Linked DNA regions of Callithrix jacchus. The protein of the gene in region 1 interacts with the protein of each later gene in a biochemical or structural test. Links are inferred from orthologs where the notes say so. Each region holds a gene or a part of one and is shown in the gene's direction. Other genes may lie near its edges.

The links.
Region 2: the proteins of PARD3 (region 1) and JAM2 form a complex in vitro, tested with the Homo sapiens proteins (2 studies listed by BioGRID and IntAct, with this or other methods). The link is inferred for Callithrix jacchus from reciprocal best matches to the Homo sapiens genes PARD3 and JAM2.

What each region holds. Positions count from the first base shown.
Region 1 is NC_133508.1:34,437,603-34,443,171, reverse strand, and holds the start of PARD3 (partitioning defective 3 homolog), read left to right. Parts: upstream 1-2,175; 5' UTR 2,176-2,503; coding exon 2,504-2,623; intron 2,624-3,153; exon of another isoform or gene 3,154-3,432; intron 3,433-5,569. UniProt on the Homo sapiens protein: Adapter protein involved in asymmetrical cell division and cell polarization processes. Seems to play a central role in the formation of epithelial tight junctions. Targets the phosphatase PTEN to cell junctions.
Region 2 is NC_133522.1:31,848,116-31,853,551, forward strand, and holds the start of JAM2 (junctional adhesion molecule B), read left to right. Parts: upstream 1-1,781; 5' UTR 1,782-2,198; coding exon 2,199-2,262; intron 2,263-5,436. UniProt on the Homo sapiens protein: Junctional adhesion protein that mediates heterotypic cell-cell interactions with its cognate receptor JAM3 to regulate different cellular processes. Plays a role in homing and mobilization of hematopoietic stem and progenitor cells within the bone marrow.

The sequences.
Region 1 (5,569 bases):
GGTCTGTATGATGTCCGATGTACTCCGGTTACTACTAAAAATGACTTTTGATTATAATTATTTTCAGAAAGCCCCACTCTAAAATTATTATACTCAAACTAGTGTACTCTCTGAACTAGTAGAGCATATAAACTAGTAAACATTCTCTGCCAGGGGTGGTGACTCACGCCTGTAATCCCAGCACTTTGGGAGGCTGACCACTTGAGGTCAGGAGTTAGAGACCAGCCTGGCCAACATGGTGAAATCCCGTCTCTACTAAAAATACGAAAATTAACTAGGTGTGGTGGCAGGCACCTGTAATCTCAGCTACTTGGGAGGTGAGGCAGGAGAACCACTTGAACCCAGAAGGTGGAGGTTGCAGTAAGCCACGATCATGCCACTGCTCTCCAGCCTTGGCAATAGAGTGAGACTTGGTTTCAATAAGAAAAAAAATAAAATAAATAAAACAAAACAAAATAAACTAGTATACACTCTAAACTAGTAGTATGCTCCCCCATACATGAAAACAGAAACACCACCTATAATTATGAGTAATTGTTGTTGTGAATCCAAGTATCTATGTAAAAAGCAAAAACCCCACAGCCACAGTTGTTGTCATCGTTGTCGCAAATTTAATTACTGGGTAGAAATGTCGAGTGCCGCAGCCAAACAGCAGTAGGAGGAGCCTTTCCCATGGCGGAGGGGAAGGAGGGAAACCTAGACTCTATTTCTGGGTCTGCCTCGAGCTTTCTCTGCCGCCTTGGGCAAGTGACTTCAGTTCTTGGTCAATGTCCTGGATTAAGATGGGGCTAACGCCACTGCACTGATTTGCTAGGACAGGTGGTGGAATGTGGGGGGTCGGGGCTGGGAGAGGAGAGGAAGGGCAATATTTCCTAGGAGAAACTGCACTGTAGCTGGGGCAGCTGTGGTGCTGCCAAGCGCAGCGAGTGTGGCAAGCGGACGAACCTCTTGTCTTGTTACCTTGTTTTAAAATTGGAGGTGGAGTGGGATGGATGGTCGATATGCAGCTCTCCCAGCTCTAAGTGCCCAAGTTCTGGGAGCTTGATTGCTTTCACGTCCCTTGGAAACAACTGGCAAAAATGAATTTCACACAGTCTGGTACCAGCTTACCATCTCCGGCACTCTTTGCTGACATTTGCCATTCTTTAAACACAATGACATACGTTTATTAAGGAATCACAGTCCATAACTAAGACAAAGTGAGCTTGAGTTACGTTCCCTAACTCGGTCCACGTTCCTTTAAAACGTCTCAAGTCGCATGTCACTCATCGCGGAGTCGCAGCCTTCCCCGGGGTTCAGGCGTCCGCATTAAGCGCAGGCACAGCGTGGGGATCCCCGCGTGCGGTTTTCCCGCGGCGTCGGAATAGACTGCTTTCGGATTCGCGTTGGGATTGCTTATGCTGCATAATTTCAAAGAAATAAATGTATCAGAATTGCGATGCTTAAGGTCTAATCTATTTAAGCGGGTGGGTCAGCAGCGGGTCAACGGGAAACTTCAAGGTAAATAGTGGCCTCGGCAAAAGGCCGGGTCGCTCACAGCTTCCCCACCGCCTCCCCAGAGCAGACGATTAATTTTTGTGTTTCAGGCAAACCCGCCGCTGCCCGGCCCTGCAGCCTAGCTGGGGAGCGACGGCGGCAGAAACCTGGCGGAGCGAGCGGCGGGCTCGGGTCCCGGCTGGCCGAGGGGCTCGGGCTGGAGTCTGCGGGGCGGTGGAGGGTACTCGCCGCGCTGGGCACAAACTGCTTTCACCCGCAGCGTCTGCACCCGAACCCTCTAGTCCGAGGAAGGGGATTAAAAGTGACAAAGGAAGGAGAAGGGGGGCTCCGTGGAGACACGTCTGGAGGCGTGGAAGGGGCGTCTAGGAGGAGGGGTGAGCACAGCCCCGCAGGGTGCTGGGCGGACGGGTGAAGGGGGCTGGGGGCTCCCGGGCCGGAGCTGGTGGGGGCCCACGGCAACTTGCGCGGGCTGGCTGTGGGGCGAGGGGTCCCGCGCCCCCGGAGGGAGGCGGGAGGCCTGCGGCGGGGGCGCGGGCGGCCGTCGTGCGCTCCGCCCAGAGCGGGGAGCCGGTCGCGCCTCCCCCTGCCGCATGTGCGCGGTGTTGTGTGCCCGGCCCTGCTCCTCCCCCTCCCCTCTCCTCCCCTCTCCTCCCCTTCCCTCGCTCCGTCCCCTCCCCCAGCGGCCCCGAGCGAGCGCCAGCGCCACACAGCCCCGGGCCGCCGCCGCTGAGCGCGCCGAGACGCCGAACAGGTGGCCGGAGGCTGCGGGCGCCGCGGCGGGGAGAGGCGAGGCGAGCCCCGGGCGAAGCGAGGCGAGGCGAGGGCGGCCGGGTCGGGCCCGGCATGCGAGCCGAGCGGTCCCCCGGCGTCACCGCCGCCTGCCCGCTCCCCTAGCCGCCTGCGCGCCCGAGTACCCCGCGGCTCCCCCGCTCCTAGCGTCCCCGACCCGGCAGCTCCGCCTGCGCTCGGCGAGGGGCGCGGGCCTGCCCGCGGCGGCGGCGGCGGCATGAAAGTGACCGTGTGCTTCGGACGGACCCGGGTGGTCGTGCCGTGCGGGGACGGCCACATGAAAGTTTTTAGCCTCATCCAGCAGGCGGTGACCCGCTACCGGAAGGCCATCGCCAAGGTGAGGGGCCGAGGGCACGGGCGGGGAGGGGGGCGGCGGCGGGGACGGCGCCGGGATCAATATGGCGCTTCCTGGAAGGGGGAGGAGAGGCACAGGGAGGCGGGGAAAGGGAAAGTGCGGCCGGGCCGGCCTCGCGGGCGCCCCCCGCCCGGGGCTGCGGGCGCCAAAGTTCTCCGCGCGGGCTGGGGCGCAGCCTCGGGAGCACCGCGCCGCGGCCCCCGCCGCCCCCCGGGAGCTCCGGTCTCGGGAGCGCGGGGCGAGCCGGGCGGCGGCGCACAGGCCAGCCCCGGGCGCCTCCCCGGAGTCTGCAGACCCAGCCAAGCCCCGAAAAGGCGCGCGGGGGGCGGGGGCCGGGAAATCCAGCCCCAGGCCTCTCCCGGCTCCCAGGCCCCGCGGGCACCGACCGGGGACTGGGAACTTCTGGTGTGAGGAGAGTTTCGGGACTGCTCTCCCAACAGAGGCGGGCTGCGAGCTTTCCATCTCCTCTCCCTTTCTCGGGCGGGGGCGGGACCACCGCGGGGGGCTTTTACCTCTGCGTCCCGGGCGGGCCGGGACGGCCGGCCTCGTCCGGGGGCTGCAGGGTTGGGGGAGTCTCTCGCTTGGGGTCCGGGAGGCGTTCCCGGGAGGGCCGCTGCTGGCACTGGCTTGAGAGCATTTACTGTGCTGATCCCCCTTGCTGGGCTCGGTAAAGCACAGCCTCGGCACAGTCGCGGAATGAAAAGTTTTCCTGCGAGGACCTCAGCTCCTACCCATCCCGGGCTGCTTCCATGCGGAGGGCTGTGGAGCCGGGCCTGACTCGGGAGTCGAGTGGATTTCCCTTTTTCCTGCTGGAGTGATAACATTGTCTCCACTTCACTGCATTCCTCTACTATGTGTCAGAAGTGAAAAGACATTTTGTTACATTGTTTTACCGACTGGGTCTGTATTTGACAACAGCCCACGCTGAAGTTTCTCTCAAGCACCCGAGGATATTTCCTTTGTCGTAGAGTCCTGTTTGGTGGGGAGCACATTCTCTTGGGTGCACTGTTTCCTATTTGTTCCCGACAGTGGCCTGGCGCCTGTGGGCTTGGGGGCTGCAGATGACATTGGAAAGTGTCTTGGCCAGCCCTATTGAGCGTACACCGGGTGCTCTGGGTGTCATCTTCAGTGATCTCAGAAATTAAGAAGAAAACGCTTTTTAGACTGCTGTTTTGCTTTCAATATATATTGGAAAAAATAGCATAAATGTGGCCTTTCAAACATAATTTGGGGGAACGTTTAGGAACCTGACTTAAGGCTGGAAGACATTGGCTTTAATAGTTCTGCTATGTTCCTTACAGTTGGTTGAACTCTTTTATTGAAAATCAAATAAAATTAGTGGGAATTGGACACCTGTTTATCTTGCAAAGCTGAGAGGGAAAGAAAACCATCTAAATGGACATTGAGCATTTTTAATGATTGTTTATGTGTGACAGTTTATGCTTTAAATGTTCCAAAAGAATACTCAAATTGTTCAGGTGCTCTGGAACCCAACAAAATAAATCGTGCAAGGAAAGAAATAAAATAATACACACTCTGTACTATGTCTTGGTTCCTGAAAAGGTAGGATGATTGAAGTTTCCTTTCCCTTTACTAATTTTATGTGATTAAAATTGTTTTACCTACTATGTCTCACGTTTCATCATGTACAAAATAGACATAGGCTGAACTGGCTGTTTGACAGTAGTTCAAATGTGGTTGTTTGAGGCATTAACTCGTTCCACAGAAATTCTTAAGCTTTGACTATGTCCAAGGCACTGTTCTGGGTGCTGGACATCTAGGGGACCCACTGGCTGTGAGAGTCTGAGCACGAGGCTGCGAGGTCCTCCAGGTGAAGGGGCTGGTGGTGGGAGAAGAGGTGGCCTCTGGGATGCTGGCGGACTAGATCAGGGCCTACCTGGCCCTTGTTATTAATGATTAGCAGTGGTGGTTTCACAAGGACCTAGGGCATAGAAAAGGGAGTGCAGATTTCTTAAGGGTATCTGGGCAGGTGTCACAAGGAGAAAAGCGGGGCCTATGAGCTGAAGGAAGGGAGGGTGTTAGTGATATGGGAGTTGAGAGGGAGGGTGAGAGGTAGTTCAGGGGTTCCAACACTTACATGCTCTTTAAGTACAACTTAGAGTTCTGTAGGTGAATTTGAACGGGGGCTTTGCAGTAGACCAAGTTCAGTCATTAGATCAGGACTGTTGACCCTCAGATGTTGCTAGAACTCAGGGGTCTTCTGGGCCCCTTTCTCCTTTTTCTTCTGAAATTGCTAGATAATGATTAAGATTAATTTTTAGTCTTTCCCATTCTATATTATGTGTGAGAAAGTGTTAATATGTATTTAACATTTTTTTTTTTTTTGAGACAGAGTTTTGCTCTTGTTACCCAGGCTGGAGTGCAATGGCGCAATCTCGGCTCACCGCAACCTCTGCCTCCTGGGTTCAGGCAATTCTCCTGCCTCAGCCTCCCGAGTAGCCGGGATTACAGGCATGCGCCACCACGCCCAGCTAATTTTTTTGTATTTTTGGTAGAGACGGGGTTTCACCATGTTGACCGGGATGGTATCGATGTCTTGACCTCCATCCACCCGCCTCGGCCTCCCAAAGTGCTGGGATTACAGGCTTGAGCCACCGCGCCCGGCCCTATGTATTTAACATTGTTTTAACTTTTATTCTCTTACCTGTTCCTTACGTACTCCTGTTGCTTAACAGAACAAGACAAATTCTGTGTGGAGAACTGGGTGGCTGGAGAGCTGTGGAGCAGTGTTTGGGTTGCTAGGTGACATGTGGTGTGATGAACTCCCATCTGGTGGGGAAACGTGGGCAGATCATGTTTATGGCTTTGTATAATAACCAACCAAGCCAAAATAAAAAATGAAAAGAGACAGGTCCCAACTCCCAAATCACCAAGGCTTTCTCTGCAGTAAACATTTTCTGGTGTGGT
Region 2 (5,436 bases), on another chromosome or scaffold:
TCACCTTCATAATTTAACCTCCTCTGTATTTTCTACCATCACCATCTACCTTACCATCCCATTCCCACATATACTGTAATACGGTAGAACCTTGCTTTTTCTAAGCCAGCCATAATTTTTTTATCTTCCAGCTCTTGATCCTGCTGTTTCCTCTATGTTTGACCTACTCTTTGAGGTTTATTAAAGAAAGCTGTGCCCCCACTCCCAACAGAAGGAACATCCTCTTATCATGGACCTCAGACAAGCCATTTAGCATCTCTCAGCCCAGTTTTCTCATCTGTAAAGTGGGAATGATAACAGTTCCTCTTTTACAGAGCTCTTGGGGGAATTAGATATTGCATTATTTAGATTCCATCACTAAGAAAGCCTGCAATAAAAATAGCTGTTATTATTTTCTGTCCTCCTGTCACATTTATCATGTGGTATCAGGCGCCTTTCCAGATAAGACTCTCTCCCCTCAAGACTGTGAGCTTGTTAGCAAGAAAGCCTCGATCTTGTTCATGTTTGTCCTTCAGCATCTGGCACATTGTTGCCATTTGACAAATGCCTTGGCTGGGTGGCAAACAAGTAACTTAGCCAGTTACTCACATAGGATTGCAGAGAATTTTTTGTAAGTATGACATTTTTGTGTATATTTTTAGGGAGGAGTAAAAGAGTAGCAAGAATTAGAAAAAAAGAAGATGCCAACAACTTTTCTTTTTAAGCATCAAATGTTTCTCATTACTGCCCAGAAAAACTGGCATAAGCTGTTGTTAAATCTGTGTTCCTTCTCCTCGCTTGACTGGAGTTTGAGTTTTAACATTTTGCCATTCTGACTTTCCTTTCTGGGCCCCCTGGGTCCTCTCCTCCCACCCCCTCCCTAGGTACTAAGTTTTCATCATTGTCACCACGGCAACAGCAAGGATGCCCCATTCCTCACAGCTCCGCACAGCTAAACTCTGGTGGCCTTTGTCCACTGAGCTAGATGAATTCTTTATATGTACGTCACTAAATCAACTATGTTCTATACAGAACTTCATCCATTATTCAATCATAAGAAAAAAAAATGATGTGTACCAATTTCTTCTTCTGGGAATGGCCTTTTTCCAGACCTGCCAATACTCTTGAATGAACCAGACATTTTTGGTCCCTAGGAACAAATATAAAAATTGCCAGTGTACGTGCATCCAATGTAAGTGCGGTGCAATTTTAAAGCACGCAACAGAGCATTTATAATGGGTTTCCCTTTTAAAAGCACAGTAGACCAAAAATAAACCTGACAAAGGGCAGCTGTAGAGTTTTAACACGTGGAAAACTCCACAAGCAGCAGTTATGTAACTTGAAAGAAACATGATAAATATTTCACACCATTAGATGAACTTCCAACTCTGACACTGAAAAAAAAAAAAAAGCAAAGAACACGAAATAAACGCACCTCAAATCTCCAAGGAGCAAAAAGCTTAAACTGAAAAGGGACCGAGGCTGTGCTAAAATCTGAGACCTGACTTCCAGCACTAGTCTTGATTGCTTTTTTTTTGTCTCGAGTCCGAGGCGGAGCCCGCGAACCCCATCTCCTCAGAGCGCCACCCCCTCGGCTTCTCCCGTTGGGCAGAAATTTTCCGATTTTCTCCACCCCTGGGCTGAAAAGCCAGAAAGAAGTTCTGAGCCAAGGAGGGGAAGAAAGGAGTTGGGGCAAAGCAGGAGGCGTTTCCTCACCCGCACACACCCCCGTCCCCCAGACACCCAACCCCCCACCCCGCCCCCCAGCCTGCCGCGCCTCCCGCCCCCGGCTCCCCGCCCTAGGGACAGCTGGCAGCCCCGCGCGGACCAGACACAAAGCCGATCAATCCCGGAGGCGTGGGGGCGGAGGGACGACCCGCGGCCGCTTTCCCGGGCGCTGCTCTCCTCCTGCTGCCCCCTCGCTAGGACCCGGCGGACGCTTCGCCTGGTTTTCACGCCCTCAACCCCCCACTCCCACACCCCCAGAAAAGGACAGACCCTCATCCCTGGGCTGGAGGACCTGCCTCTTGGCAGCCAGCTGAGAAGGCGCCCGGGGGGGCGGGAAACTAACATCCCATCTAGAGCCGTCCCTCTCCTTCCTCCCCTCCCCGACTCTCTGCTCCTCTCCCACCCCAGAAGTTCGAGGGCCCCCGGCCTCCTGCGCGCCCGCCGCCGAGACCCTCGACGTCGTCTGAGCAGCCGGCTCCGGCACCGCGAAGATGGCGAGGAGCCGCCACCGCCTCCTTCTGCTGCTGCTGCGCTACCTGGTGGTCGCCCTGGGCTGTAAGTTGCTGGGGTTCCTCGACCCTTGCACCCACTCCTGCCGGGACCATCCTGCCCCCAGCCTCCAGCCCCCCACGGGGCGCTCGCGCGCGGTGTCTGGGCCGCTCCGGGCCGAGGTCGCCGCGGGGCGCTGACTTTGCTCCCCAGGGCGCCGGAGGGCGGACGCGAGGGTCAGGAGCGCGAGGTCGTGGGCTTCTTGTAAATTGTGTCTGATTTTGTCAGTTCTAGATACAGAAAATTAAGGGTCCCCACTAGCGGGTTCTCATCTGTTTGCAAAGTTGGGGTAAGTTTTCAGACAGAGGGACGTGATTCGAATGCAAAACTCACTACCCACTCGTAAGATGCTAAGATCCCAAGAAAGATGGCATCACCGGGAGGCGGGCGCCGGCCGCTCTGTGAGTCCAGGGAGGGGACAGCGTCCGCGTGGTCTGGACTCTCTAGCGTCTCAGCCGAGCCGGCGTTAAACAGAGCACTTGGGGGCGGGGGTGGGGAGTTCGTGGCTGCTGAGCCAGAATTACTTTTATCCTCTCCACCTGCACATCTACATTCAGTTAGAGAAGTCTGGTCTGGGGACTCTAGCCAGCTGCTGTGTCCTCAGGGGACGTCCGGCGGGACGATTGTTAGAAAGATGCAGAAGCCACATGATCCAGTAGCTGGGGAGACATCCCAAAGCCAATTTCACCGGATGATTTTAAACAGGATTTTCACGGATTCTGGGCTCATGAGATTTAAAACCCTGGGAACATTGACGTTATTTTGTTTTCTTCGTGTTAACTTTTTAGGAAAATGGGAGAAATTACAATAGACCTTAAGCAATGCAGTTCTACTTTTGCTTTTTCTTTTTTCTCCCACTATTTTTGGCTGGCTCGCTTTTCTTTCTTTCTTTTTCTTTCTTTCTTTCTTTTTTCTTTCTTTTGTAAAATGATTTATTGTAGCTATTCACATTCTGGTGATGTAATACTTACAATAATTAACCTGCGGGACGAGTGCCTAGTGTCTACTATCACAATACGATGATCTTTTCTCACATTCTGGCTGCCCAAGTGATCGTCGCATAGCTCAAGTGATGTGAGCCACGTCCCTTTGTGGAGGAGGAAGGTGCACATTGTCTCCGGGAAGGGACATGTGCTGACCAATATTATATAAAGTCAAACCAGAAAGGCAGAGTTTCACAATGAAACCCTTGTGCAATTTTGAAATATCAACTGATATACGGAACACACAGAGAAAAAAATGCGCTCCTGCTAAAAGGCAACAGAGAGGTAGGCTGGAGAAATTGTAACAGAACATCTGAGAAAGTTATGTATTCTGCTGAAATCCTAAATTCAAATAGAAAAGAGTGTGCCTTTTAGTGTAGAATTGTCACTAATTAGAAACAGAAAATCGTTTTGCTGTGCTATTCCTATTGAGTCACCAACATAGAAAAAATACACCCTAATTTTGAAATTGTAGTGTAGAAACAACCAAGAAGCAAACAAAAGAATAGATGAATGGGCCTGAGTGAGCTCTTCAGGCTTTAGGTAAATATAACACATTGGCTCTGCTAACCTTGATTCCTAGAGGGGATAAATTTGAAAGTGTTGTGGGAACTTTTCTATATTGTTTCTGAGATACCAAAAGATCTGGCATTGCAAGAGTGTTTTCTTTTCTTTGCGTGTGGGTTTTTTTTTTTTTTTTAACGTTTCAAACAATTTTAGAGTAGTTTGGTTTTAAAGAAAAATTCCAAAGCTGGTATAGAGAGTTCCCACATACCCCACACCCACTTTCCCCTATTGTTAATGTCTTTCATTAGTATGGTACATTTCATTCAGATTTCCTCCATTCTTACCTAATGCCTTTTCTATTCCAGATATGGAATAGCCATCCAGGCTATCACATTACATTTATTTGTCATGGTTCCTTAGGCTCCTCTTGGCTGTAGCAGTTTCTCAGGCTTCCCTTGTTTTCTCTTACTATGACAGGTTTGAGGAGTATTGGTCAAGTATCTGGTAGAACGACCATCAGTTGATGTTTCTCTGATATTTTTCTCATGACTAGACTGGGGTTATAGGTTTTTTGGAGGAAGATCAGAAAATGGTAAGGGGCCTAGGTAAAGTCACATTTTCATCACATCATCTCCAGGGAACATACTGTACACATGATTTGTTGCTGTTGATGTGAACCTTGATCACCTGTAATCACACTCATCATGTAGTGCATACCAGTTTTCTCCACAGATCACCCACCCCTTTTTCTTCATTTCCATGCTAGATTTTTTGGAAGGAACTCACTACATGCAACCCACACCTCTTCAGGAAGGAGAGTTATGCTCCATCTCCTCAAAGGTGAAGTGTCTTCATAAATTATTTGGAGCTCTTCTGCATGGGAGATGTGTCTCTCCCTTCCCCTCACTTATTTATTTAATCATTTACTTTTCCATCAGTATGGGCTCATGAGTATTCGCTTTATACTTTGGGTTATAATCCAATACTATTTTATTTAGTAAATACTTAGTGGATTTCTTATGCTGTTATTACATATTCATCTTTTTAATATTCTTCCCAGTTGTAACAGACCACTCTTTTGGCCACTCCTATTATGTACAATGTCATGCTTACTCCCTTCTTTCCTTTTTTTCCTGCTGTTTATCAACATTTTTTAATATCTTTCTTAATAGTCTGGAGGATTGCTTTTTGTTGCTGTTCTTTTTATTTGAACTATGATGTCAGTATCCCTGTGGACATAACAGACATTTTCTTGTGTGTTTAGTTGAATTGTATTTTTCTTTCCCACTCCATTGGGAAAAGAATTTCTTGATGTTTATTCACCACTGTATATCCAGAGCTGAGCAAAGTTCCTGGTTAATAACAGGGATAAATATATGCCTGTTGATTCTATAGTATCTTAGTCCATTCCTGCTGTAACCAAATACCATGAACTGAGTAGCTTATAAACAACATTTATTTCTCACAGCTCTGGAGGCTGAGAAGTTCACAATCAAGATACCAGCAAATTCAGTGTCAGGCAAGGGCCCACTTTCTGGATCATAGATTGAGCCTGCTCAGGGTGATCGCCCATGATGGAAGAGGAAAGGCAGCTCTGAGGTCTCTTTATAAGGGCACTGTTCTCATGACCAGATCACAGTTCAAAGCCTTCACCTCCTAATACCATCACATTGGTGATTAAATTTCAACA